Sus scrofa: one gene and its partners. The protein of the gene in region 3 interacts with the protein of the main gene of each other region in a pairwise test. Links are inferred from orthologs where the notes say so. Each region holds a gene or a part of one and is shown on either strand. Other genes may lie near its edges. The genes, in order: FAM161A, ZNF277, NUTM1, MORN4, ZMYND10, SAMD4A and RIC8A.

Evidence for each region.
Region 1: the proteins of NUTM1 (region 3) and FAM161A interact in binary tests that used the Homo sapiens proteins (3 or more experiments, as listed by UniProt). The two-hybrid records come from large-scale screens. The link is inferred for Sus scrofa from reciprocal best matches to the Homo sapiens genes NUTM1 and FAM161A.
Region 2: the proteins of NUTM1 (region 3) and ZNF277 interact in a two-hybrid assay, tested with the Homo sapiens proteins (2 studies listed by BioGRID). The two-hybrid records come from large-scale screens. The link is inferred for Sus scrofa from reciprocal best matches to the Homo sapiens genes NUTM1 and ZNF277.
Region 4: the proteins of NUTM1 (region 3) and MORN4 interact in binary tests that used the Homo sapiens proteins (3 or more experiments, as listed by UniProt). The two-hybrid records come from large-scale screens. The link is inferred for Sus scrofa from reciprocal best matches to the Homo sapiens genes NUTM1 and MORN4.
Region 5: the proteins of NUTM1 (region 3) and ZMYND10 interact in binary tests that used the Homo sapiens proteins (3 or more experiments, as listed by UniProt). The two-hybrid records come from large-scale screens. The link is inferred for Sus scrofa from reciprocal best matches to the Homo sapiens genes NUTM1 and ZMYND10.
Region 6: the proteins of NUTM1 (region 3) and SAMD4A interact in binary tests that used the Homo sapiens proteins (3 or more experiments, as listed by UniProt). The two-hybrid records come from large-scale screens. The link is inferred for Sus scrofa from reciprocal best matches to the Homo sapiens genes NUTM1 and SAMD4A.
Region 7: the proteins of NUTM1 (region 3) and RIC8A interact in binary tests that used the Homo sapiens proteins (3 or more experiments, as listed by UniProt). The link is inferred for Sus scrofa from reciprocal best matches to the Homo sapiens genes NUTM1 and RIC8A.

The regions. Positions count from the first base shown.
Region 1 is NC_010445.4:79,966,198-79,969,697, forward strand, and holds part of FAM161A (protein FAM161A), read left to right. Parts: coding exon 1-707; intron 708-1,042; coding exon 1,043-1,210; intron 1,211-3,283; coding exon 3,284-3,383; intron 3,384-3,500. UniProt on the Homo sapiens protein: Involved in ciliogenesis.
Region 2 is NC_010460.4:33,315,107-33,318,606, forward strand, and holds part of ZNF277 (zinc finger protein 277), read right to left. Parts: intron 2,823-3,500; coding exon 2,726-2,822; intron 580-2,725; coding exon 537-579; intron 1-536. UniProt on the Homo sapiens protein: Probable transcription factor. Involved in modulation of cellular senescence; represses transcription of the tumor suppressor gene INK4A/ARF, perhaps acting via the Polycomb group (PcG) complex PRC1.
Region 3 is NC_010449.5:80,149,498-80,152,997, reverse strand, and holds the end of NUTM1 (NUT family member 1), read left to right. Parts: exon of another isoform or gene 1-157; coding exon 158-441; exon of another isoform or gene 442-707; coding exon 708-824; exon of another isoform or gene 825-1,170; coding exon 1,171-3,147; 3' UTR 3,148-3,234; downstream 3,235-3,500. UniProt on the Homo sapiens protein: Plays a role in the regulation of proliferation. Regulates TERT expression by modulating SP1 binding to TERT promoter binding sites.
Region 4 is NC_010456.5:108,996,811-109,001,060, forward strand, and holds the start of MORN4 (MORN repeat-containing protein 4), read right to left. Parts: upstream 2,801-4,250; 5' UTR 2,646-2,800; intron 2,627-2,645; exon of another isoform or gene 2,442-2,626; intron 2,262-2,441; 5' UTR 2,182-2,261; coding exon 2,169-2,181; intron 1-2,168. UniProt on the Homo sapiens protein: Plays a role in promoting axonal degeneration following neuronal injury by toxic insult or trauma.
Region 5 is NC_010455.5:32,827,238-32,831,180, reverse strand, and holds the start of ZMYND10 (zinc finger MYND domain-containing protein 10), read left to right. Parts: upstream 1-1,143; 5' UTR 1,144-1,329; coding exon 1,330-1,421; intron 1,422-1,693; coding exon 1,694-1,802; intron 1,803-2,721; coding exon 2,722-2,838; intron 2,839-2,964; coding exon 2,965-3,018; intron 3,019-3,137; coding exon 3,138-3,275; intron 3,276-3,386; coding exon 3,387-3,475; intron 3,476-3,565; coding exon 3,566-3,666; intron 3,667-3,943. Other genes in the region: NPRL2 (nitrogen permease regulator 2-like protein), read left to right, coding at 69-136. UniProt on the Homo sapiens protein: Plays a role in axonemal structure organization and motility. Involved in axonemal pre-assembly of inner and outer dynein arms (IDA and ODA, respectively) for proper axoneme building for cilia motility.
Region 6 is NC_010443.5:184,107,337-184,110,836, forward strand, and holds part of SAMD4A (protein Smaug homolog 1), read left to right. Parts: intron 1-1,261; coding exon 1,262-1,595; intron 1,596-3,500. UniProt on the Homo sapiens protein: Acts as a translational repressor of SRE-containing messengers.
Region 7 is NC_010444.4:30,767-34,970, reverse strand, and holds the start of RIC8A (synembryn-A), read right to left. Parts: upstream 2,801-4,204; 5' UTR 2,678-2,800; coding exon 2,594-2,677; intron 2,319-2,593; coding exon 2,271-2,318; intron 2,185-2,270; coding exon 1,594-2,184; intron 1,116-1,593; coding exon 1,024-1,115; intron 552-1,023; coding exon 401-551; intron 1-400.

The DNA of each region.
Region 1 (3,500 bases), on a different chromosome or scaffold from region 3:
TATCATGATGTAGTCAAGCAAAATGAGGAACGGAGGAGGTCTATGAGGGAGAAATACAAAGAAGCTCTTTTGGCCTCACAAAGGCCGTTTAAGTTTATGGCAAGAGAGGAACAGAAGCAAGCAATTCGTGAAAAGCAGCTAAAAGACTTTTTTAAGTCTAAAAAGAAAACAAATCGATTCAAAGCCAGACCTGTCCCTCTATCTACTTATGGTTCAACTGTCAAAGACAAGTTAACAGAAGATGAGTTTTATAGAAACATTAGGACACAGCGGAGAGCCCAAGAGTTATTACAAAATTCATCCCCTCTGCCTTGCAGTCCAGCTCGCAGAAGTTTTGCTGCAAGGAAGCCCAGGTGTCCTGAACAGGCTGAAAGGTCAAAGTATAAACACAAAGTTAGGTGCCAGACTGCTGACTCTGAAGACCTTCCTGAGGGATATCAGAAATACCACTCGGAACAGAAATGTCCCAAACTCCTAACAGTCTGTGAACCGTCTGACCTTCATACAGCCTCACATGCCTCCACTAAAAGAGAGAAAATTCTGGCAGACATTGAAGCAGATGAAGAAAATTTAAAAGAAACACGTTGGCCTTATCTTTCTCCAAGGCACAAATCACCAGTAAGAAGTATGAATGCAAAGCCTGCATCTTGTAGCTACAACCCTCCAATGCCCACAGTGTCCTCTAGGGGAAGAGAGCAAGCCACAAGGTAAATAAGCGATGCGGTACTGATTCATGGTTGCTATTGCTTTTGTACGTGGAATTCGAAAATGTGAAGTTATTATATCTGGTAACATACTTTACTGTGTAATATAGAACATTTGCCAAAGGGTGTTCTTCTAAGAAGTGATATATTTTCCATTTTATGAATCTTTGGGAATAGAAATGGTTATAGTCAGCCTATTGATTTCTAATTTTACAAGTCAGATCCTTCTCAAAAGGTTGCCCCTTTTTTTCAACCTTTGAATTATCCTGTGTTAAATCTTTGCTAAACAACATTCTCATTGGCTTAAAGTGAATTAAGCCTTAGTTTGTTGCCCTCAGGAGATCACTTGAGGAAAAGAAAATGTTGGAAGAAGAGAGAAATCGGATCCTAACTAAGCAGAAGCAAAGAATGAAAGAATTGCAGAAACTTCTGACAACCCGGGCTAAGGCTTATGACTCACATCAAAGTCTAGCTCAGATGTCTAAATCCAGAGTAAAATCTCTCAGGTATCACGAGAGAGTCCTGACCCTCCAGATCATTGGTTTTCAAACTTTTTTTAATCAGTGGACCCAATATGTGAACAGATTAAGCATAGTGTTAGTATTTCAGTTTCTGGATCCAAGTTACCATCAGTTACTTAGAGTTAACTTACACACTCACCCTCACTCCTTTCCTTCATGGTAAGAACAACATGTATACTCACCCCATGGTGAGGACCATGATGCCATGTTGATGAACATTTTATATTGTGGCCATAGTTCATGGTTGTAATCTTCTATCAGCGTCTAAACCTTTTCATTATATTATTATTGCACAGTACGGTACTGAGAAAAATCTTGATTCACACAGAGCTCTCTCTCTTTTTTTTAACAGCTTGCCATGTAATCTCAGAATATTCGTCCATACAAAGATATGTCAGAGAGCTTTGTTCTAAGTTCTGCCCAAAATCTGATAGCACAAATTAACACACTGATGTTAATTCACAGTTATGTGATGGGTCAGTTGACATGTGTTAATGTTTAGGGGTATGTGTTACATATTGGAATTCTACAGTACAAAGTTTGAAAATCAGTGCTCCAGAGGAACATTTTTATGTTGCAGCATAAAAATGTTCATATTTAAGTAGGAAAATATCTCCCCCAAAGCTGGGTAAGTAATATGATGTATTAATTTTTGGTATGATTTATAAGTACCCCACAAATCTATATTTGTTTTAAATTATGAGTATTCTTTCTTAAATGTATATTATATATAGTAATTATATTCCTTTATAATGTATATTATGTATATATTTCTTATAACGTATATCAATGTAATTCATTGACAAAAGGAGCTTGATTTGATGAACTTGAGCAAAATATTTGTTTTTTGTTTGTTTGTTTGTTTTTTGGTCTTTTTGTTTTTTTAGGGCCGCACCAGAGGCATATGGAGGTTCCCAAGCTAGGGGTCTAATTGGAGGTGTAGCTGCCAGCCTATGCCACAGGTCACAGCAACACTGGATCCTTAACCCACTGAGTGGGGCCAGGGATTGAACCCACAACCTGATGGTTCCTAGTTGGATTCATTTCCGCTGAGCCACGATGGGAACTCCTGAGCAAAATATTCTTTTTTTTTTTTTTAGGGCCACACCCACAGTATAGGGAGGTTTCCAGGCTAGGGGTCGAATGGGGGCTATAGTGCTGGCCTTCACCACAGCCACAGCAATGCCAGATCTGAGCCGTGTCTGCGACCTATACCACAGCTCACAGCAACACCAGATCCTCAACCCACTGAGTGAGGCCAGGGATCAAACCTGTGTCCTCATGGTTACTAGTCAAATTTGTTTCTGCTGAGCCACAATGGGAACTCCAAGAAAGATATTCTTTAGAAATATTTACTTATTCATGCTTAGAAAGTAAATTGCATTTTCCATAATACTAAAAATTAGGCATAATTATTACTTTATTGTAGAATTATTTTTATTAATCCATGAAGTCTTATGATCTTGGTGGAGTTAGTATATTTTACAAAGAGAAAAATAGTGTAATTTAATTCATTATAGGATCTTGTTGTAAAAGTGCACTTACTGTGAATTGATGTATCTTGGTTCCTGTTCCTCTATAAGTTGTACTCCCATAATCCCCACTTCTCTGCTGCCCTGCTCCCATTTAATTATTTAACTTTGCCACCAACCTATAGGCGATCTCATTTAGGGAAAAACAAGAGAGCGAGGTCCTGTTTTCAGAAGAAATTCCTTAAAGAAAATATATCTAATTTAGACTAAGTTTTCTTGGTTTTATATACTTATAAATGAAATAGAGGGCATTCATTTATCTCCTCAGGGTAGTTTGAAGCCCCTTAATACATTATGTTTTGAAAATTTCAGAAACTTCAAAGTACCCAAACTGTTCCTGGAATAAAAAAAAATACATGCTCTGAGAATGTAGGATTTTTATTCTGCATTCCATAAACATTTACCAGTCTAGAAAAGAAATTATGATAAACTGTGCTCATAATTTCTGATTTTTCATCTAAGCTAAATGTTATGTGTGCAAGTTCTTATTTCTTTTAAAAATTCCATTCCTTTTATTTGATTTTAGAAAGAGTGAAAAGGAAAGGATGAGAGAATATCGGCAAGAACTAGAAGAAAGAGAAGAAAAATTAAAAAACAGGCCGCTGCTATTTGAAAGAGTTGCTCAGGTTGTGTTTGTTGGAATTTAAGAGCTATTGTCAACTTTTTTTTTTTTTAAAACATCTCTAGCTCCTAATTTTTATAGTCCATTCTCCTATGTATTATATAATTTACCGAGACATTAT
Region 2 (3,500 bases), on a different chromosome or scaffold from region 3:
AGACACATTAGCAAGTCAGTACTTTTCGTCTTCATGCCTCTAATCTATCATAGTGATCCAGCTGGTTTAATATATAATAAACACTCTAGCTACACTACCAAGCCGTGCAGTAGGTTTTTTATATATATATTATCCACTCTCTGTAATATTCTGTTGACCTGAGGCCCAACATCACACAGCCAGTAAGTGCTGAAGCTGGAATATGCACTCTTGTCTCACTTCAAAATCCATGTCTTTTCCACTAGCTCCCCCCCCACTTTATCATATATATTAATCATTAACTTGTATTTTATTTGAAGCAATCAGATATGTAGGAAAGAAGAAGAAATACTATATGAAATAAAAAACCACATTTAAAAATTGTAGTTTAAAAGGGCTGTGAATCAGTGGTTCAGGCAGTTCTGCAGAGACCATCTGTGGAGAGACACATTTTGGCTGTGTGCTCTCCAGTCATGACTGTGGAACACAGGCACTGTTATGGGATGGTGTATAGAAAAATGCAGCATCATGGAAAACAACTTCCAAATCAGACTTACCAAGTTCTGACTTTATTTTGAGAAGATCAAATTCATGTGCATCCTAAAAAAAGGAATGAATATATCTGTGAGCATATAAATTATTTAATCTTTCAGGCTGAATTTATAAACAGACAGCTCATTCACAGGAGTTTGAACACTGTAGAAACTCAGTCTCAGATCATCTGCTTTTGAAGTCTTCGAAATTTAACTGCTTCCCCCTACATCCAACTGCTTTTTAAAGCACAGTCTAAACAAGTCATGTCAATCAGTTAAAACATTTTAATTGTTCACAGCTTCTATCTACAGTTTTTACAATTTACTCTGTATGCATTCTGCAGTCTGACAAAAGTGTCTCAGTCTCTATGTAAGATGTGGCCCTACTGTGTTGTGTCTGGACTAGATTTATGAATACAGGCCCTTTGCTCCACAAGCAGATAGGTAATTTTTAAAATTATGCTTTTTGTCTTATGCTGTCAAATACAGTGTTTAAACCCGTAAGTTTCTCTTCACTCATATCTTCCCACAAATTACATGTGATTTGATTGTTATGATGTCCAGACTTACTTTTATTCTGTTCCATTCCTGCAATTGTCCACATGGGTAAATGTTTCAACTTACAAACTTACAGAGCATACATAAACACCATCTAACTCCCTGTGAAGGCATTCAGTATAGCACCATAGGCAGCATAATTAAGAATTCCATGATCTTATCACTGAAAGTGACTGAGAAGAGGCTGACACCAGTCAAGGATGCTGCAAAGGGAATTCTTATACAGGATAGGGGTACTAAGGCTCCTTTCCTTTCGAAGATACAAGGTTATTATGAACTGCATTCATAATACACACATACTAGTGGCAACCTGTTTCAGACAAACTGATTCTCTGCTTTCACAAGGAAATGCCCACAGCCCTTTAAACATCTTCCAGGTCCTTGTTTACTGAACTAAGAACAGTGTTTATGGATAAGAATGGAGTGAAGTGGGTGGACCTGGAGCCTCCGCTCCACTACTGCAGAACTGAGTGGGGGAGGGGTACATCAGAATCATCTGGTAATATTTTTCTTTTTTTTTTTTTTTTTTGTCTTTTGTCTTTTTGTCTTTTGTTGTTGTTGTTGTTGTTGTTGCTATTTCTTGGGCCGCTCCGGCGGCATATGGAGGTTCCCAGGCTAGGGGTCCAATCGGAGCTGTAGCCACCGGCCTACGCCAGAGCCACAGCAACGCAGGATCCGAGCCGCGTCTGCAACCTACACCACAGCTCACGGCAACGCCGGATCGTTAACCCACTGAGCAAGGGCAGGGATCGAACCCGCAACCTCATGGTTCCTAGTCAGATTTGTTAACCACTAAGCCACGACAGGAACTCCTGGTAATATTTTTCTATCACACTCAACTCTACTCTCAACGTAATAGGAAGATAGCGTCTAGAAGGAAAGGCACAAACTGGAAATGTCCTCAAATTTCTTCTCTCCAGATCCTTGTAGTTGAAGGAGCTGCAAGACCACATCCTATACCCTCTCCACCTCCATGCTTCCCCCACCCCCATTTCCCCCAAGGGCTTTGCAAATGACAACGTTCTCTCTCGCCCAGACCTCCGTATTCACTGGAAAAAGATTCCTGGGTACTGTTAATGGTGGCTGCAGATCCCACCTCTAAGCTAGAACTATCTCATTAGCATCTCAAAGGTGGGAAGGCCTCAGCGGTTTGTGAAATCCCGAACAGTTCACCCAGGTCCGGTCAACTGTACTGAAGGCCATTTGCTCTGGTTCTCCTTTTTGGACCCTCCCTGTCTCTTCTGTTTTGCTTATAGCACAATCAGAAGGAGAAAATGTTTGGGGGAGTTCCCGTCGTGGCGCAGTGGTTGACGAATCCAACTAGGAACCATGAGGTTGCGGGTTTGGTCCCTGCCCTCGCTCAGTGGGTTAACGATCCGGCGTTGCCGCGAGCTGTGGTGTGGGTTGCAGACGCGGCTCGGATCCCGCGTTGCTGTGGCTCTGGCGTAGGCTGGCAGCCACGGCTCCAATTCGACCCCTAGCCTGGGAACCTCCATGTGCCGCGGGAGCGGCCCAAAGAAATAGCAAAAAGACAAAATAAATAAATAAATAAATAAAATGTTTGGAAAACTAAAGGTATAAAATGTTGAGTTTGCAGTCATTATCAGCTTGTCCCTGTCAGAACACAACAAAATCAAATGAATAAAATATCTTACCTTCATGTGGACACATAACTTCTCAATTGTTTCTGCTTGCTTTTCACAAAACAGGCAGACAGCAGAGATAGGGTGTTCCTCCCAATCAGACCAGTCACTGTGTTAAAAAGAAAACAGCAAACATGGAGATTCCCTTCATTTAGGAGGCGTCTTGCACAGTGACTTAGTATTTCTTCCCCCTAGGAAACCCCACCAGTCTCTTTCAATTCTGGTATTTTGTATATCATATTATGACTTTTTGATACAGCTTTTGAAATTCAAAGCAGCACCATGAAATTAATATAAACAGCAAACAGGTGCAGCCATATCTTCTTATATGTGCCTCTCTATCTGAGCAGCTATTTCACTGCAGAATCAGCTCAATGTCTTTCTGAGACAAGCAGCTTAATTTGCAGAGGAGCCATGTCAGTGGATGTGATGCTCTCTCTCATTAACCACAGCACTAAGTGCCGCTTGCTGTGAGGTGCAGTGCTGGGAGTGGGTTTCTGCATGACAAAGGGTGTATTTTTAAAAGGCAAGCTGTGTATCTTCCATGGGGAAATACTGATCGTTTTAAATGGGGCAAGTGTTAAATTTCACGGTAGACGGAGAAATCAAAAGACATACAGGGCCCTTTTTTATTATTTCCCCCCTCCTTGCATTTATTTTTTGAGATACTGTCAACCTCTTGTCATTCCTAAACAAGGAAAATCAAAATCCCAGGAGAGACAAGAGGCTGGACATCTTTCAATAAAAAGAGGATAAATAACAGGGAATCCTTTTAGGCTGAAAACAC
Region 3 (3,500 bases):
TATGTTCTCCCACAGCTGGTACTGTCAGGTTTGCCTGATCCAGTCTGTAACCAGTCTTTAACCTGATCCAGGCTGCTGCCCTTACAAATGGGGGTGAGAGGCAGAAGCCGTGGTCTCCGTGCCACTCCCCATGTCTCCTTCCCTCCTTGACCCTCAGTGTACATTCCCAAGAAGGCTGCGTCCAAGGCACGGGCTCCCCGCAGGCGGCAGCGCAAAGCCCAGAGGCCTCCGGCTGTGGAGGCACCCAAGGAGATCCCAGAAGAAGCTGTGAAGGAGTATGCCGACATCATGGATGGGCTGGTGGGGAGTCACGCCGCCACCGAGGAGTCAGATGGAAAACAGGAAGAGCAAGAGCAGCAGCGGGAGGAAGGGATGTATCCAGACGCAGGCCTCCTGACGTACATTGATGAGCTCTGTTCTCAGGAGGTGTTTGTCTCCAAGGTGGGCTGGGCCTGGGCACCTGTTTTCTAGTAGATCTGGGGTGGGAACCCCAGGGAACCAAAGATCTTGGCTTCTGACCCAGGCAGTTAGGAACTACTCTTTCCCATGCTGAGGAACCTGTGTGCATATATGAATGTGTGTAGCTGATGGTTCATAACAACCCAGGGAAAGGGTGTGAGTGGGGGGGGGGGTACATAGCTTTTCTAGAGCCTCCTGGTTCGGACCTCCTGTTAAGGACTCACATCACTTCTCCTTCCGTTCCCCAGGTGGAGGCTGTCATTCACCCTCGATTTTTGGCAGATCTGCTGTCCCCAGAACAACAGAGGGATCCATTGGCCTTAATTGAGGAGCTGGAGCAAGAAGAAGGACTCAGTTTTTCCCAGGTAAGCCTGGAGGCAGAGAATCAGGACAAGAAGCTCGCATGACTTTATCCGGCCCTATGTTGCCTTGGATGGTATGGCTTCTGGGGATGACAGTTTCAGCATTCAGCTTTGGGTGCCCAACAAGTAGGCAAGGGACCACGGAAAAGGGGAGAGTGAGGGCTCAAAGCATGGGAATAAGACCCAAGAATGTGTTAAAAGAGCTATGGTATCTGGCTTTGATACTCTCACTTAAGCCACTTGTTTGCATTCCCTACCCTGCCCAAGAACCATCTCCTTCTCACACCGTCAGCCAGCCTCCCCTTTTCACTACCACATTTAGAACAGTATCCGTCCACTCTCCTTCTAGCTGGTCCAGAAGCGGCTCCTGGCCTTGGAAGAGGAGGAGGCAGAGGCACCTCCAAGTTGCAGTGGAGCCCAATCGGACTCAAGTCCTTCTGTTTCTGATGAGGATGAAGTGGGGGGTGGGCGGCTTCGGCCCTCACCTGGGCCTCGGGTGGCTGGGGGCACCATTTGCCTTGAAAAGGCTGCTTTTCCAGGGAAGAGGGCAAGAGAAGTGCCTGGTGGGCAGGAGTGGGCCCTAGATGGTCTGAGGGGGACGAGCAAGAATGGGAACACTCTGCCATCCCCCCGTGGCTGGGACCTGCAGCTAGAACTTGCAGCTCCACAGGGAACTCAAGGGCCCCTGGGTATGAAGAGACGATCTGGGAAGGTTACAAACCCCATACTCCCCCATCAGGATGCCCATCTGGGAGGTGCCGGATCCCCTGGGCACTCCCTGGTGGCTGAAGGGACTTCTGAGGCTCTGCCCCTTTGCTGGCAGGAAGGGCCCCAGCTTGAGCTAGTTCCCAGTATGGATGCTGGACTTGCAGGGCTGGCTCCTCTGCAAGGACAGGAGTTAGCAAAGCAGGCTCTGGTGCTGCAAACAGGACAACAGATAGGGGATCTTGGAGTAGTTCCTCAGGGGAAGGAGCAGTTAGCAGGGCCCCAGGAAGGGTCTTCAGGGACCAAGTGGGCAGATGACAGAGGTCCTCCCGCAGCTCAGAGTTATGATCAGAACCCTTCCCCCAGGGCAGCCGAGGACAGGGACAGGGCCTCTCTCAGTCCAGGGCTTTGGCTGAGCAATGAGATGGATGCAATAGGCTTGGAGTTGCCCTTACAAATCGAGGAGGTCATAGAGGCATTTCATGATGGGGAATGTGTAACTGAGTGCCAGGGGAACTGCCAGGCACTGGGCTCCAGAAGCAACATTTCTCTGGGTCCTGGAGAAAGCACAGCACCTGGGGATGTGGGAAGCAGTATAGTTCCCTGTGGAGGCACAGACACCACAACTGCCCTCGAGGAGATAAACTACTGCAGCTTGTCAGAATCTCTGAGGGCCAACAGCTCAGCCTCAAGGCCTAAAGAAAACAAAGAACAGAGCCCCAAAACCATACAGGATTCCAGTGATATGTGGGCTGAAGTTTGCCTTCCACTGTTAGAAAGGAGAATGGGGGCTTCCAGAGAAACCCTCCTGCCTGCAAATCAAGGCAGTATCCTTCTCCTGGGGACCCAAGATAACTCCTTCCCTGAGGCCAGCCCTGAGGCAGGAAGCAGAGGCAATTCCATTTCTTCTCTGCTGGAAGCCACAGAACATGTCAGCATACTAGATGTGAAAGATGGCCGTGGCCTCCAGCTTAGGGTCAGGGAGGTTACCTGCACACTAAGTTTTAATTCTCGTGACCCCCAAGGAGAGGGCAGAGATGATACTGACTTATCTGAGCCTAAAGACCTTGCTCCCTTGCCAGGAGGTCAAGGGTCTAATGCACACGGGGCCCCCAAATCAACATCCCCTCACCAGGGCCTTCGAGACACTCTCCCTATGTGGGGAAGCAGGGACACCTTAGTTCTGAGAGAAGCAGCTCCTGTCACTGAGACGTGCAGTTCAGCAGATGGGGCCAGAGCGAAGGAGAAAGGGGTGGAGGAAGATGAAGAACTCTCCAACTTTGCCTACCTCTTGGCCTCTAAACTGAGCCTCTTGCCCAGGGCACCTCCTGGCAGTCCTCGCCCTGACTCAGGGGGCCGGGGGACCCAGAGAGCATCGTACTCCCTTGCTCCTGAGCCAAGGGGCATCGGCCAGGCTCCCCATCCTGTCGCCAAGCCTGGGAAGCGAGCTCTAGTTGGAAGCTTGGTGCCTGCTGAAAAGAGGCCCTTCCCTGGAGCTGAACTTGGGGCACCTGGGGAGAAGCCCCAGGCTCTGGGAGCAGCTCGAGCCTCACAGCCTCGTAAGAGAAGAAGGGATAGCTTTGTGACTGGCAGGAGGAAGAAACGACGTCGCAGCCAGTAGGGAGCAGCAGGACCACCTGTTCCACCTGCCTATCCCCTGGAGACTAGCCCCAATAGACACTTGTTCTCAGCCCTTTGTTGTTTTCTGGTTCTGCCAAAGTGGTGAGCGTGGGGAGGGAGGGCACAGGGCTAGGCTGGAGGTGGTGCCCATGGTGAGCGGTCCAGGGAAAGTTACCTTTGCAAGTTGTATGGAGAAAAAGCTAACATGAATAAAAGATTTTGTTGTTGGAAAATGTTCTCAATGTGCCCTTTTGTACTCATGTCTTCGCTGCTAGATGCGATAAGATGCCGAGAAGAAAGGAGGTGAGGTAGCCTTGGACTAGATGTATCCAGAAGCCTTCCCAGCCTTCAGCC
Region 4 (4,250 bases), on a different chromosome or scaffold from region 3:
GCAAATTCCCATTTCTTTTTGTTCCAGGGAAATACAGCAAACTTCAACACTTGCGGAGTTCCTGTCGTGGTGCAGCGGAAATGAATCCAACTAGGAACCATGAAGGTGCACATTCAATCCCTGGCCTCCCTCAGTGGGTTAAGAATCCAGCATTGCCGTGAGTTGTGGTGTAGGTCCAAGATGCAGCTAAGACCTGGCGTTGCTGTGGCTCTGGAGTAGGCCGGTGGCTACGGCTCTGAATAGACCCCTTCCCTGGGAACCTCCATATGCCGCAGGTGCGGCCCTAAAAAAAAAGACAAAAAACAAAACAAACAAAACAAAAACTTCAACACTTGCTTGTCAAAATGATATCCATTCCCAAGAGCACAATCAGATGTGCTAATGAAAGGAAACACATGTATACTCCATGGGTCTCAGGCCTCGGTGGAACACATTAGACTAGAAACGTCAATGTGCGTCCAAATAATTGATATTGGCATTGCCTGAGACAGCGTCAGGGTTTTCATTTATGACTTTTGTAATTAGCCATGCTAATTAATAGCTGTGTAGCCACTGACCCAAAAAAAGAACTTCATTAGTAACCATGATCACTAAGACAAATCTAGTTTAAAAAAGTATAGCTGTGGAGTTCCCTTCATGGCGCAGTGGTTAACAACTCCGACTAGGAACCATGAGGTTGCAGGTTCGATCCCTGCCCTTGCTCAGTGGGTTAAGGATCCGGTGTTGCTGTGAGCTGTGGTGTGGGTTGCAGATGCGGCTCGGATCCCACGTTGCTGTGGCTCTGGTGTAGGCCAGTGGCTACAGCTCCAATTCAACTCCTAGCCTGGGAACCTCCATATGCTGCAGAAGCGGCCCTAGAAAAGGCAAAAAGACTATATATATATATATATATATATATATATGTAGCTGTGCTGATGAAGATTTTTTAAAAACCCAGTAATTGAATAAGGGATGCAAGTCAGTATTTTTATCAGCCACTCAAAAAATCTTTTCAAAGGAGTTCCCTACTGGCTCGGTGGGTTGGGGATCCAGCAACACACCACTGCCATGGTTCAGGTGGCTACTGTGGCACTGGTTTGATCCCTAGCCCTGGAACTTTTGCATGCCGCTGGTGCAGTAAAAAAAAGAACAACAACAACAAAAAACACCTTTTTTTTTTCAAAGAGAAGAGATGGCCTAGGAGTTTAGGCTTCAGATATACATGTGGAATCTAGTTACAAAGCCAAGACAATTCATGCTTCTAGACAGATGTCCACCCTTTCTCTCTCTTGATAGACAGATTGCAAAGGATCAATCCAAACATTTATCTAAAAGAAAATAACTATTTTATCCCTGTAAGCCAACACACTATCAGTCTACACAACAGACTATATCCATACCATCTTTATGTTCTCCTGCCCCAGACATTTCCAAATAGAACTCAAAGACAGTAAAGAGACCTTTTGTTTTCATTCCATTTGCCTTTTTTTTTTTTATTTCAGAAATCAAACTGGTTAAAAAACATTTATGCATTCCCGGTAACCTGTTTCCAAATTCAGAGGATTAAAAAACCTAACATAAAGGGGAAAAGATTTTCAATTTAAGAATATTTTTTGGAGGCATCTACTATCTACATATACCTTCACAGTGTCCCCTTAAAGCCACCCTCCTCAGGGTATGACAATCTTGTCAAAGTTCTTTCAATTATAAAAGCTCTTAGGCTTTTAGAATCCTAAAAAGAAGAAACTGAAGGCTTTAATGAACAAAGATCAGGCTTGTAAGGAACCCAGAACAAGAGGTCAAGTGTTCTTTTTAAAGTATTTTAAGTGAGCCTAAAATAACTGTCCTTGTTATGAGTCTGTGAGTCTCTTTCACTCATTCTTCCTTGGACTGGAAAAGTAAACAAATGTATGGCCACTAGATAAAAGTCAGCGGGAATACAGTGGGACAGTTTGATGGAAGAAAGTGGGAAGAAAATCCTGACAACAGAAAGGTCAAAACAAAACAAACCAAATAAAAAACCCCAGACGTCTTTGGATGAGAAGGACTGCCGGGACAGTAGAATAGACACTATTCTATTTCATGAGAAAGTAAAATGCCTGGGCCGGGTTCTAACAGAGCCGAATGACTCCCGCTGGTACCAAAACAATTTGGAGTTGCCAGACAGTAGGGATAGCACCATCAACTACCTGATTGAAGCATCCCATTTTCCAAGCCTCGACGTGTGTTGGGGACGTCTCTCCACCAGAGTGTGACAGAGGCGGGCCGGAGCCAACAAAGCCCTAGATTGCAACAAGGCAACAATTCCCCGTCCACCTCCCCATTTCTTCTCCCATCCGGTTCTTGCCTTCCAGCGCCGCTCCTTCTCTCCACCCTGGGTCAGCACTCCCGTGCGGGCGGGGTCTTCCACTCACACAGGTATGGCATCCCCTCCTCATATAGCCCCCACCTACCCCACTCACCATCCTGGACGCCGTGGGCTCTCTCGGGCCTCGGACCCCGCGGTGGAGACGGGAGGCCCAGGTTTGGGACCCTCGAAGAGCCACCGCCCCCACTCCAGGATGGAGCCGCGCTTCACAGCCGCTGTCATCTCAGGATGGGCCCCTCAGTGCCTTCCTCCCCGACCACATTCCCCTGACTCCCTCCCACCCGCGCGGCCAGCCAACCTGGGCTCAACCTTCCGGGATGACCGTCTCGCCCCGACGCGGGGCTCCAGAGGCCCGGACCTCCGCTCCGCCGGGCTCGCCCCTGCCACCTGCCTCTCCGCCACCACCTCCAGTGCCCGCCCGACTTGACGCCGCCATCCCCTGCAGCCGCACCGAGCACAATTCCCGCGGCCCATTGGCTGTTACCTAGGCAACTGGGAGCAACGCCACTTTCCATTGGTCCAGCCCGGGCTCCGCGCCATCTTTGTGTGGGGCGGAGTGTCTAGGGAGCCCCTGGCGGAACATCCTAAAGAAGGGTGGGGCTGACCTAAGGTCCCACCTCATCCACCCATAGAACTCAGGTCTTGCCTGCCTAGAGGCACCCTAGCCGAAATGTTAACCCCCAACCAAACAAAACCAGACCTGTGTCGGACGTAACAGTGACCAACTCCAGCGGCTCGGATCCCACTTAGATCTGCACAGTTGTTAATGGCACCTCCGCGGAGCTGAAGGACAGAACCCCAAATCGGCTTTTGAGGTGCAGTTTTGTAAACTGTAAAGCGCAAGACGGGGCAACTACAGTTTAATGAGTGTCAACCCTGTGCCAGCACTGTGATATCAGGGCACTTTTTTTTGCACTCATTATAGGGATTTATGGTGGTGGTGTCATTACTCATATCCTTTGTATTTAAAATACAGTTTGCTCCAAGATTGGAGCAAATCCTCCCAATAACCATGCACACCAACCGGTTTATCCATATGTTTACTTACCGAGCAATGCGAATGCAGCGTGATGCCAGGTCCTGCCAGGCTGGAATAGAAATGATTACCGCTCTCCTAGGATTTACTGCCTAGCTATGGAGAAGAAAATATTCATGCACACGGAAAAATTCAAGACAATAATTAATTGTGGTGTTTTGTTTTGTTTTTTTGTTTTTTTAGAGCTGCACCGGTGGCATATGGAAGTTTTCAGGCGAGGGGTGGAATCAGAGCTGCAGCTGCCAGCCTACGCTGTAGGCACAGTAATGCCGGATCCGAGCCACTTCTGGACCCTCACCACAATTCACCTGCAACACTGAACCCCAGACTCACTGAGAGAGGCCAGGGTTCAAACCTACATCCATGGATCCTAGTCGGATTCGTTTCTGCTGATCCACAACGGGAACTCCTATAATTAATTTTTAAGAGAAGACAAGCCTACAAAGAGAGTAAGCAAATTATTTTGCTGAATTGGGATTTCCTAGTCTGTCGAATAGGGTTTTTTGTTTTGTTTTGTTTTTTGCTTTTTTAAGGGCTGCACCTGCAGCATATGGAAGTTCCCAGGCTAGGGATCCAATCGGAGCTGTAGCTGCCAGCCTATGCTACAGCAACGCATGATCCCAGCCTCAACTTCGACCTAGGCCACAGCTCACAGTCACAGCCATGCCAGAGCCTTAACCCACTGAGCAAGGCCAGGAATCAAACCCACATCCTCGTGGATACTCGTCCAGGGTTCATAAACCCGATGAGCCACAATGGGAACTCCCAGAATAGGATGTTAATAGTAATAATGACATAGTCTCCCTGACACTTGTATGAAAATACAATACAAAATGCTCAGTACTGTATCTCACATTCTAAGTGCTC
Region 5 (3,943 bases), on a different chromosome or scaffold from region 3:
GCTGAGGTAGGATTAGGGCAGGGTGGCCAAGCCAAGGCCGCTGACCTTTCCTCCACTACACCACCCAGGCATGAGCTACCAAGAGCTGGATGAACGGCTGGAAAACGACCCCAACATCATCATCTGCTGGAAGTGAGGCTGATGGGAGCTAAACTAGGCACACGGCTATGGCTGCTCTCTCCAGCTAAGCCCTGCCTGGTGCATGAGGAATAGAGCAGCAAACTAGGCCATACGGTCTCAAGGTTGACCCCCATTTCTGTAAATAAAGTAATGTATTTCAACTTACCATTATTGAGTACCGACTCTGAGGCAGCCACCAGAGAGAAGTGGCAACTATCAGTGAAGGAGATGACCATCGCCCTGGCGCCCTGGAACGCCATCTGGTGGTCAGGATCGATAATGGGCATGTGAAAGTGCCTACTAATTATAAACTGAGGAAGAGGAGATGAAAAGTTGAGTGGGGACGGGTGCTGGGGCTGCTCTGGATTAGAGGGGCAAGGAAGGCCTGGCTGAACTGACTTAAACTGAACCCCGAAGGAGGAAAAGTATTTCAGGCAGAAGTAACACTGCAAAAGCCCTGAAGCAAAAGCCACTTTGGGATGTATGAGGAAGTTAAGGGAGGCCCATGGGGCTGGAACATAAAAAGCAAAAGGGGCAAGAAACGAAGGCCCAAGGTAGCAGAGGGGGCAAGAGCCTGATTCTGCAGAGCTGTTGGTAAACTGCCTTTGACATAATATTTTGACGGCCAGGGGCAGCCAGACTCACCATGTACGTCTTTAAAAGACTAGCTACTCAGGAAAGGTCAAGAGTGGAAGTGGTTCAGTAAAAAAGCCATAGTAGTTACCTCATGAGAGGTGATGGCAGCCTGGACTAGGATGGAGAGAAGTGAGCCCTGCGCAGTATTTCGCGGGTAGTGGAGCTGGACACGAGAGATTACTGCAATGAGGCCACAGACCAGCGGCAGGGAGAGCTGATGAGGTCCGGCCGACCTGATGTCCATCCAAGGAGGGAGCCTAGGCCACAAGACTGGGAATTAGGGACCCGTGAGCCGCAGCCGGCTGTAAGGCAAAGTGGAGGGTTGCCACCCTACCCCGAAACACTGCAGGCGGGGGCGGGGCCTAGGCCGCATTGCGCATGCGCCGTGCTAACGGTTTCCATGGCTGCAAAGACGCACACTTCCCAACCGCTCCGCAACTGCAGGATCCCAGACTTGGGCCCCGCCGGAGACCGTGGTCCCCCAGAGTGTCAGCACCCCTACCTCAGAGCCGGCTGTTGCCCGCTGTCAGCTGGACCCCGCCTTCCTGCCCTCTGTAACCTTGGGCCGCCGACATGGGCGACCTGGAGCTACTGTTGCCCGGGGAGGCTGACGTACTAGTGCGGGGACTGCGCAGCTTCCAGATCCGCGAGATGGGCTCCGGAGGGTGAGGCAGCTGGATCCTGGGGCAGGCGGAGTCATGGGGTCAGAGTCTTTGAGTGGGAGAGGGTAGCCCTGACCTTGGGGGGAGGGGTTGCCCAGCGTGGAAGGGCCCCCAGGTGGGGAGGTAAAGCTCTTAGAGACTGAGGGGGCGGGGGCGTATATGGTCCTGCGCTACATCGGACGCCTCAGGATCGGGGTTAGGCTTCAACAGAACCCAGCCCCCACCCCCACTGCACACACGTGCATCCACATGCACACACACCCTCTGTGGGGCAGATGGAACCAGCAGCATGAGAATCTGGAGAAACTGAACATGCAGGCCATCCTTGATGCCACCGCTAGCCAGGGCGAACCCATCCAGGAGCTCCTTGTCACCCATGGGAAGGTATGCTGGAATCACAGACAGGGTTCCTGCCTTCTCACCACCACCCACCCCACCACTCTACACCTCAGGGGTAACTTGGGTGCCTGTGCTTCCCTCTGGCTGGCACACCTGTCCTCCCTAAAGGAGAAGGAATAGTGTATTATTACAATTTGATTTTACAGCCCTATGGGACAGGACCCTAGCATGCCAGGCAGGGTAGAGGGCGTGGGTTGATTAGGGAGATAGTCCTGGATCCTAGAACACCCTAGGCTGTAGGGAGAGGTCCCAAGTTCTAAAGCCTTTCCTGAATAGACTGACAGACTGGAGGAGGTCCCCACTGAAGTGAGGGTGAGACTTTGGCATGGAAGGAGGCAACCTTCCCAAAACGAGAGAGGGAGTTAGAAACCAGAGATTGGCTCAGCTGGAACATGTGCCAGGTGATGGTACAGTAAATGACCTGAGATAGCACCTGACAGCAAGGTTCCTCTGCAAGGAAAACTTCTACTGGGGGCAGGGGGAGGCTAGGAATAGGGCACTGTGAGGGGGATGCTGAGTAAGAGTGAGGCCAAGGCACAGAAAAGCAGTGAGGCCAGAGGACAAGGACAAGAGGGAAGGCATGAGCAGGAGGGCATGAGCTGAGAGGTACACCTGAATAGAGAAGGAGGGGATAAGGGCTTAGATGCAGGGGGAGCTTGGCATCCTGGGGACAAGGCAAGGGCCAGTCATAAGACACCAGATGCCCTCACAGAGATACTGGGGGCAGCTAGAAATGGAGCGCTAAGGTGCAGAAGAGAGGTCGGGAAGGAATTTGTGGGGTGTGTGAGAGTCTACGGGCCCAGGGGAGTTTGACAAGAGCTGGGCTGGGCTGAGCCAGGAACAGGAAAGTTGCCAGGCCAAGGCAGGCCCGTCTCATCCCTGTATTAACCCCCTCACCCCAAAGATCCCCACGCTGGTGGAGGAGCTGATTGCAGTGGAGATGTGGAAGCAGAAGGTGTTCCCTGTGCTGTGCAAGCTGGAGGACTTCAAGCCCCAGAATACTTTTCCCATATACATGGTGGTGAGCTGGGCCATTGGTTCATACCCCTGTTCAGCCCCTCAGAGGGACCCAGACTAGAGAAGGAAGCTGGTAGCCCCTATCCCTCTTCCAGCAGCCCAGGGTCCTGTTCTCCTCTTTAACTGACAGATACACCACGAAGCCTCCATCATCAACCTCCTGGAGACAGTGTTCTTCCACAAGGTGAGGCACCCGCCCTGCCCACTGGCTACTGCCCCAGGCCAGAGCCTGGCAGCAAGGGGGGTTGTATCTGTGTGGGAAGGGCATCAGAGACAGAATGTTCCCCTCCTCCTGACCCCCAGGAGGTGTGTGAATCAGCAGAGGACACTGTCTTGGACCTTGTGGACTACTGCCACCGCAAACTAACTTTGTTGGTGGCCCATTGTGGCCATGATGGCCCCTCAGAGGAAGAGGAGTCCCAGTACAGCACCCCCATGCAGGTGGGCTGAGGTTCCCTAGGATTGGCAAGGGCTAGACCCAGGCTCCCCCAGGTCTAAGCAGGCAAGAAGATGGCCCACCTTGAACGCCGTGTGTCCCACCCCCCAACTCAGGAACTACAAAAGCAGGCAGAGCTGATGGAATTTGAGATTGCACTGAAGGCCCTCTCGGTGCTGCGCTACATTACAGACTGTGTGGACAGGTGGGCAGCCCTACCAGGTCTGGGGCCTGAAATGGAGGGCTGGGAGCCTGGGCTTGTAGTTTCTCCTTACCTTTCTATCTCTGTCCCTAGCCTTTCCCTGAGCACCTTGAGCCGCATGCTCAGCACCCACAACCTACCCTGTCTCCTGGTGGAATTGCTGGAGCATAGTCCCTGGAGCCGGCAGGAAGGAGGTAAGGTCCTCTTCCATCTGCCTAAGCCCCAGCCCACTGCTTCCAGGACATCCTCCAGGATTGACAGGGGGGCAGCTTGCACACAAGCAGACAAACTCTGCCCCCTTGCCCACAGAGAATACCAGAATGCCTCACCTAAAGTGGGCCTAGGGAGTTCCCTAGTGGCCTAGCAGTTAAAAATCTGGCATTTTCAGAGTTTCCGTTGTGGCTCAGAGGGTAAAGAACCGAACATAGTATCCATGAGGATGCAGGTGCAATCCCTGGCCTCACTTAGTGG
Region 6 (3,500 bases), on a different chromosome or scaffold from region 3:
CAAAAAATGTGTGTGACTCGGTTTACTGAGATCATGGATTTATTGCAGTGGTCTGGAACCAAATCGGCATTATCTCCAAGGTGTACCTGTGTGGCACACATATTCTATTATACGTTCTTCTCTCTATAATGATCCTTCTAAAACATGTCACTCCCCTGCTCCCTGACCTCTCACTTCTTGAAGAAGAATTTCTGGCCTCCCTGCTGACTCCTAATGCAGGCCTCCTTGCTCCTGGCTCTCATTTCCCCTTCTCTCCCCTCCTCTACCCTACCCCCCCACACCCCCTTTGCTGTTGCTCCCTCATTCCAGGCATGTACCCACCTCAGTGACTTTGCCCTCATGGTGCCCTCTATCTGGAGCATGCTTTCCCAGGAGCCTGCAGCCCATGCTCAGTTGAGTTCCAGCTCCAATGTCGCCCCTCAGCTAGCCTCCCCTCCCACAGCCCTGACCTGGGCCTCAAGGTGAATATTCATCTTGTGCTAGGATGCACCCTCCCTGAGGGAACCCTAATGGCTTTCCAGCCACATCCCCATACCTAGTCCGGGGGGCAGCTGGGCAGAGCACCCAAAACATACTTATTAATGTAGCAAAGAAGCGCATGATACAGAAACCTTCAGCTTTGCAAATAGGAACATCATCACAACCACCTCTATGAGGCAGGTCCTGCGGTTATCTTCCTGTCATCCACAGGGAAACTGAGGCACAGAGGGGTTAAGTCATTTACCCAAAGCCACACAGCAGTGTCAGAAGTCAAACCCAGGCATCTGTCCTAGAGTCTGTGTTTTTACCCACTGCCTGTGTTGCCTGTGTCATGGGCTGAGTGAGGGCGTGAATGATCAGGTTCCTTCATCTAAACCACATCACATACAGGACAGAAAACCACCATGTGACCCTGTATAACTTTGTTATCCAGCTTCCATAATGTGTGAATGTAAACTATAAAAATGCATTTTTAAGAAAGGCACTGAGGAAGCCAGGGAAGGAAACGCACCCAAATCATTTCAGTGATCATCTCTGAGTAGTGAGATCTTCAGGTGATGTATTTTCCTCGCTACCTCTACCTGTGTGTATTTCCCAGTTTTCTACCTGGGCTAACATTAGAGTGATAAATTTTAAATGCTCACTCTTGAGAGAACGTTCTAATGAAGGGGTCAGCAGCCGTGGGCCCTGTCTGGGGACAGCTCCGGCAGAGGAAGGGAGGCTGGAGTGGGCCACCTGGATCCTGACCCTAACGGAGGTCCTCTTCCCTCTGACCACCCAGGACATCATCGAAGGCGGCAACCTGCGCACCCCGCTCCAGGAGCTGCACCAGATGATCCTGACTCCCATCAAGGCCTACAGCTCCCCGACCACCACTCCCGAGGCTCGCCGCCGGGAGCCCCAGGCCCCACACCCGCCTTCGCTCATGGGCCCGGAGAGCCAGAGCCCTGACTGCAAAGACAGTGCCACGGCCGCCGGAGCCACTGCCACTGCCTCGGCCGGGGCCAGCGGCGGGCTCCAGCCGCACCAGCTGAGCACTTGTGATGGGGAGCTGGCTGTCACCCCCCTGCCAGAGGGGGACCTCCCCGGGCAGTTCACACGTGTCATGGGGAAAGGTAGGTAGAGCCCGATCTTCCAGCCTCTCAGCACCACTGACCAGAGCTACCAGTTCCCAAGGGGCTTCCCCTGGGTGCTGGGTGATCTGCCAGGGTACAACATGTCAGTAGCCCATTTTAGAGATGAGGAAAGTGTGGCTCAGAGAAGTTAAGGCATTTACATCTGAATTCGGAGCTCTCTGACCCCTGAACCCTCCTCCTTAATCCTGGCTCCCTTCTGTCCCACTCCTTCAGACCAGGGTCTGCTGGGCCCTCCTGGTGGAGTGCTCACTGGGCCATTGGACCCTCAGGCTAAAGGCAGCCTGCCCACGGCCCACACAAGTTACCATGGCCACGCTGTGTGTCTACAGGGCAGCCTAGAATTCCCACGTGGTTCTTGGGTAAGAGCCCCTTTTTGCCTGTGCCTGCCCTGTGTCAGACCCTCATGGAGGTATCCTTGACCATGTCTGACACTAGAATAATTTGTGCCGGATGAGGATGAAAGCTTCACAAGAAATCTTGATTAGTTAAAAACATGTGCTGAACGCCAGTAATTTTCCTTTGGGAAGGGGAAACAATTTTTGTCTTTTCTGGTGTCCAGGGTTTCAGATCATTTTAAGGAACTGGGTTCTAAACAAACAAACAAAAAAAGATACCTGAGTTGTACAGAGGCAGTGAAAAACTCCCTGTGATACATGTCCATAAAAAGACTTAAATCTATAGAAATCAAATAAATTATAATATGAATTCATGTTCATCCTTAAAAAAAAAAAAATCAGAGCTAACTAAAATGGTAAAAGGTAAAAAAAAAATAGTACCCATTGTCTCCTAGGCCCTGCTGTCTTCTTACTAAGAGGTAACCATGATAAAAGGTTCAGAATACCCCCTCAGAAACATCCTTGTTACACACTAACAAGTCTCGTTTAAATATTTCTTTGCAACTTTCTTTTTTTACATTATATGCTTTCAGTATTTCTATTAATACAAACATTCCAACTCATTCTTCCTTACAGGCTGCATACTCTTCCCCTGTGTGCATAAACCGTAATTTAATAGGGGTCCCCACAAATGGACACCTCAGAGGTGGTTTCCATGTTTTGTTGTGCTGGAGAAATGCTATACTGAAACATATATATATTGGTTCAACAATGCTATACTGGAAATTTAGGTGCCAAGACATAGTATAAATAGGATTCTGGGACAGATTGGTTTTGCAGGATTAGGGACAGTAATCCTAAGCTTGGCCTGCCTGATGGTGAGGCATTTTGACTTCTAATTGACATCTTTGTCCAGCAGTCTCCACCTGGCCTTCTAAACATTCCCATCAAAATCAGAGCATCAGGAGCTCTGGGGTGAGAAGAGAATGGGCTGCACTAGTGTGGCCATGGGCTCGCTGTGGGGGTGTGTCCTCTGCCCACAGACGAGCTCTGCTCTGGCTTTGTGAGAACTCATCTGAGTGGGTAGGTGAACCTATGCAGGTGTAAATGAGTGCATTGTTTTTGAGAAAGTCACCCTCGATGACGGAGCAGCAGGCTCCCTGCTCATGGTCCTGCCCACGAAACCTCACGCCCTAAACGATGTGCCGCCTCGCTCTTCCAAGTGAGACGGCTCATTCATAAAGTCACAGCGACAGCTCTCTGATAAGGACTGATGGTCTTTAAGGCCTTTGAACTCCCTCTCCAAAGGAGCCCCTTGCAAAGACAGAGCTCGGAACACTGCTGCGTTCTTCCTCTCCCAGAGTGTCTGTCTCAGCCGGGTTGCAGAAGGCTTAATATAGAATGGTATGCGTGGAATTAACCAAAGGGGCTTCCGAAGGCGAGGGCTCCTGCAGTGACCAAGCCTTTGACTTCAGTGGAATGAAGAGCCTCCTGGCCTTTTTTGTGAACCTGACGTAAAGCTGCAGTCATACATACCTCTCAAAATATT
Region 7 (4,204 bases), on a different chromosome or scaffold from region 3:
AGCCTCTGCCTGGAAGATCCTGTGGGTCCCTTTAGAGAGACCAAAGGACAGCCGCTGCTCATCACCAAGAGCTGCTTGTGTAGAGCGACACTGCGAGTCTAGCATCACAAGCAGGGACCAGCGGCTTCTTGGTCCCCCTCAAGAAGATCCACAAAGAGACCTAAAAACAAATACTTTGCTAGTCTCTGAAAACCTGCTTCTGTTTGTATCAAAAAGTCTGCCTACATTTCAAGGAGGACATTCTGGCTTCCTGCCTGGCTGGACCTTGGAGCAGCTGGAGGCATTGCCTGAATCCCACTGGGGAGCTGATCTCCCCTTACCAGTGCAGACTGCACAAAAGCAGCGCCCACAGCTGCCTGGGAAAGCCTGGGCCAGAGCCATAGCAGGGCCTCCTGCCCACCTGGTGCAGACGCTTCTCCAGGAAACTGAGGAGGGCATGAATCACATCCATGTTCACTCCCAGGAACTCCAGGGAGCCTTCGTGTGGCTCCAGGGTGAGAAGGACATCCAGACACTTGAGGGGCAAGTTCCCCAGGAGGTTCACTGTGTGGCTGGGGACACATGGAAAGGAGGGCTGGGTAAACCCAGGCCCCCAGCACAGGCGCAACTCTTGTTGCCCCCTGCTGGGATCACACATGACCCGAACCAGTATCAGGGGCCTGAGTAGCACCAAGTACCAGAGCAGAGGGAGGCCCTCCTTGCAGACATCCCACCTCCCACACACCTGGGTCGAAACAACAGGTAGTCCAAATTGGGACCCGCCCAGGCATAGGTCACAGAAAATGAAAGTGACAACCACACTGCTCTATGGATACCACAGTGTTCAAGGTCCAGTGGCACATTCTGTCCTGAGCTCACAATTCTTGTCCTAGCTGTGTGTTCTAAGTGCTGCAGCTCTGTGGAAACACACCAATGCCTGGTCCCACCCAGTTGGATGAAAACTCTCTCTTTAGGGCTGGAAACCACCATATAGACCTGAGAGCAGACGCCCGCCCCGGTGTGCCCAACAGGCACCACCCTCACCCGTGGAACTCCTCTGTGCGGTCTCCAGCAGCAGTGACCATCACACAGTGCCGCAGCAGGGTCCCCAGGTGCCGGTAAAGTGCAGTGTCTTCCTGACCAAAGAGAAAGGGGTGCCTGTGAGAGAAAGTGCCACTCACCCCCACTGCTGCCTGCTGAACATCTACTGCCTGGCCCACGGCCAGACCTCATGCAGGCCATGCATCTCCTCCACCACACCTGGCTGCTCAGCCTCACTTATGTGACCTTAAGAGCACTCTCGTGGTTAGGGACATCAACAGGTCCCTTTGGGATGAAGTCACTCTGTGCTCTCGCCCCCCGCCCCCCGAAGAATCTCCTACAGCCTGCCCCCACACCACACAGCACTCCTGGTGTTGCAAGAGCCAGATACGCGCTCTGATTCCTCGATGCCCTTATACGGAACGGGCACCTCCCTGCCTCCTCCTGACAAGCGCTGCTGTGCAGATGTCCTCCTGGTCCGACACCCAGAAACTTGAGGGTACCTGGCAGAGAGGCAGGTCCCGGAAGCATCCTAGTTGTTAAGCCCAACCGAAGGCTGAGGCCAGCCCTCACCTCATCCACCTCCCTCTTGATGGAGTCGAAGGTGATGTTGAAAAGCACTTTGAGGATCTCCATGGCCCGTTCGGTCTCCTGGGAAGGAAGGAGTTCCGGGGGTCCCTCTCCAGGGGTCATTCCCAGCGTCAGCTCCAGTGCCTCGGTCAGCAGGTGCACTCCCTGCAGCTCCTCAAACAGCTGCCTGCGCACATCAGTGCGAAGCGCCGTTAGCAAGAAGAGGAGGCGCAAGTCAAAGAACTGGACGTCATGCGGGAAGCTGCTCTGGCGGTACAGTCTCACTCGCTCTGCGAGCCTCACCACTAGCCCCGCCTCTGCGGCGAGCACCTGTGCCACGGAGCTGCTCAGCACGAGGTTGCACAGGCACTTAAGGGACTCGAGCACAACATCCATGTCCAGAGTCTCAGGACACGACCCCTTCGAAGCAGAGATGCCAGCATAGCAGGCAAGCGCTTGCAGGCTCTGGCGGCTGGTGAACGAGTCCAGGCAGCTGCGGTCCCTCGACAGGATGCGGATGCTCTGCAGCCAGATGACTCGGCGGGAAGGTGACAAGCCCTGCTCCAGGACTGAGACCAGCAGCTCCGCCAGTCTCTGTGGGCAGGGGAATAGAGCGGTTCCATCAGGCTCCTCTACCTGGGCCACCCGTCCCTGCCCCTTTACCCTTGATAAGCACCCACCTTCCTGTCCTCCTGTTGGGCATCGTCAAACGTGAAGCTCTGGGAGTTCTGCAAACAGACCCAGAAGATTAGGAGGCACAGGTCCACCGAAGCAGAATCCGAGCTCCAAGGCCGCAGACACCGCTCTCAATAGACAGGGCTCCCTTTCCCCACGGCACCCCCAGCAACTCTTCAAAGACTCGGTGCCCCTCCCCGCCGTGCTCGCCAACACCCTCAGCCTTCCGCCACGCTCACCACTCACACCCTCCCCGCCGGCCACGCGCGCGGGACCCACCCAGCCCCACCTCCTCCCTGCGCGTCCCACGTCCATAGCTCCCGCTCACCTCCCGGTTGTAGGCGCGCAGAGCCTCCATAACCACGTCCTCCTCCCCCGTCTCTATAGCATCCACTACCGCCCGAGGCTCCATGGCGCTCCCGGGACCCCGGCCCGAGGAAGCGGAAGGTACCTCGCTCCAAGGCTCTGGGCCCCAGACGGCCCGCCCGGCCCTAGCTCGGCGCGCGGGGGAGGCCGGGAAGGGGCGTGCGCGGCGCCGCGCGGGCGGGGGCCCGGGCTGCGCGCGGCGCCGCGCGGGGCGGGGGCCCGGGCTGCGCGCGGCGCCGCGCGGGGCGGGGGCCCGGGCTGCGCGCGGCGCCGCGCGGGGCGGGGGCCCGGGCTGCGCGCGGCGCCGCGCGGGGCGGGGGCCCGGGCTGCGCGCGGCGCCGCGCGGGGCGGGGGCCCGGGCTGCGCGCGCCTTAAAGTGGAGAGGCCTAGAAGAGCCCTCGGGAATTTAAAGGCTTTGATGTCTAGTCACGTTGCCTTTCAGTGTCCGACTCAGTGGTTATCCGACCACGGGCCTGAATCGCTCCGGCTCCGAGCAGTGAATTCCCTACGGGAGAGGGCCTTAGCTTCTCACCCCGCTATTACACGCACACTACACCCCTCTTGATGTACAGAACGAATGAGATGTTCCGAGGAAAGACGAAGTGGAAAGGACTTTGCAGCCCCGGGACCACTTTGTTTATTAAGCAGGCGTTTGAGGGCCTACAGCATGCAAGGAACCAGGATGTGGGTGAACAGAACCCACAGGTCCTTGCCTTCGTGGAGCTTATATTGCAGAGGTGAAAACAAAAACGGGAAAACGGGAAGACTTTAAGCAGTCATAGTGCTGTGATTGAAAAAGGGGCCTGATGGGCTCCAAGGGGATTTGAATAAGTGTCGCTTTTGCTGAGACCAGAGGAAGAAGTGAGCCAGGAAGGGATGTGGGGGAAGTTCATTCAAGGCCGAAGGAGCCGGCAGAGTAAAGGTGGGAATGGCCGTTGTAGGAGAAAGAGATCATTGTTGGGGCTGAGAGACAGGGGAGAGTGGGGAGGGAAGGTCCAGGTCAGGATGAAGGCAAAGCCTGATCATGTGCAGGGACTTCCTGGCTGTGTAAGCAGACACATCTTCTGGCCTGGACCCAGTTCCCTCTTTTGAAAAGCAGAGATGATAAAAGGTCCCATTTCGGTGGGTTGTCAGCACTAAACGACACAGAGTGAATGCTCCATTACAGTGGGTGAATAACATATACTCCACCCACTGCGCAACAAGCCTTTGTTGAGCATCTATTTTGTGCCAGACCCCTTGTCAGTGCCCGGGTGCAAGGTCGCAGCACCGGCTCCTCCTGCCCCTAACTCCCCTCACGCTCCCACTCTTCTTCCTGATTTCCCGTTTTCCTTCAAGTGCTTCATCCCTGAGATTTTTGCAGCGCTCGCTTGTTCCAGGCACTGATCCCCTCTTTATCCCGCCGGCAGCATCTGGAGCGTGCTTCACACCGAGTCCTCGCCTTAACCGCACCGCAGCCGGGCGGGCCTCGGACCCCGGGCCGTGTCGCCGCGAGGAGCCTCTCTCGCCTGAGAAAGGGCCGTGAGCTCTTTCCAGTTAGGATTTGACACCGCCTTCGGCAGGAATGGCCGCG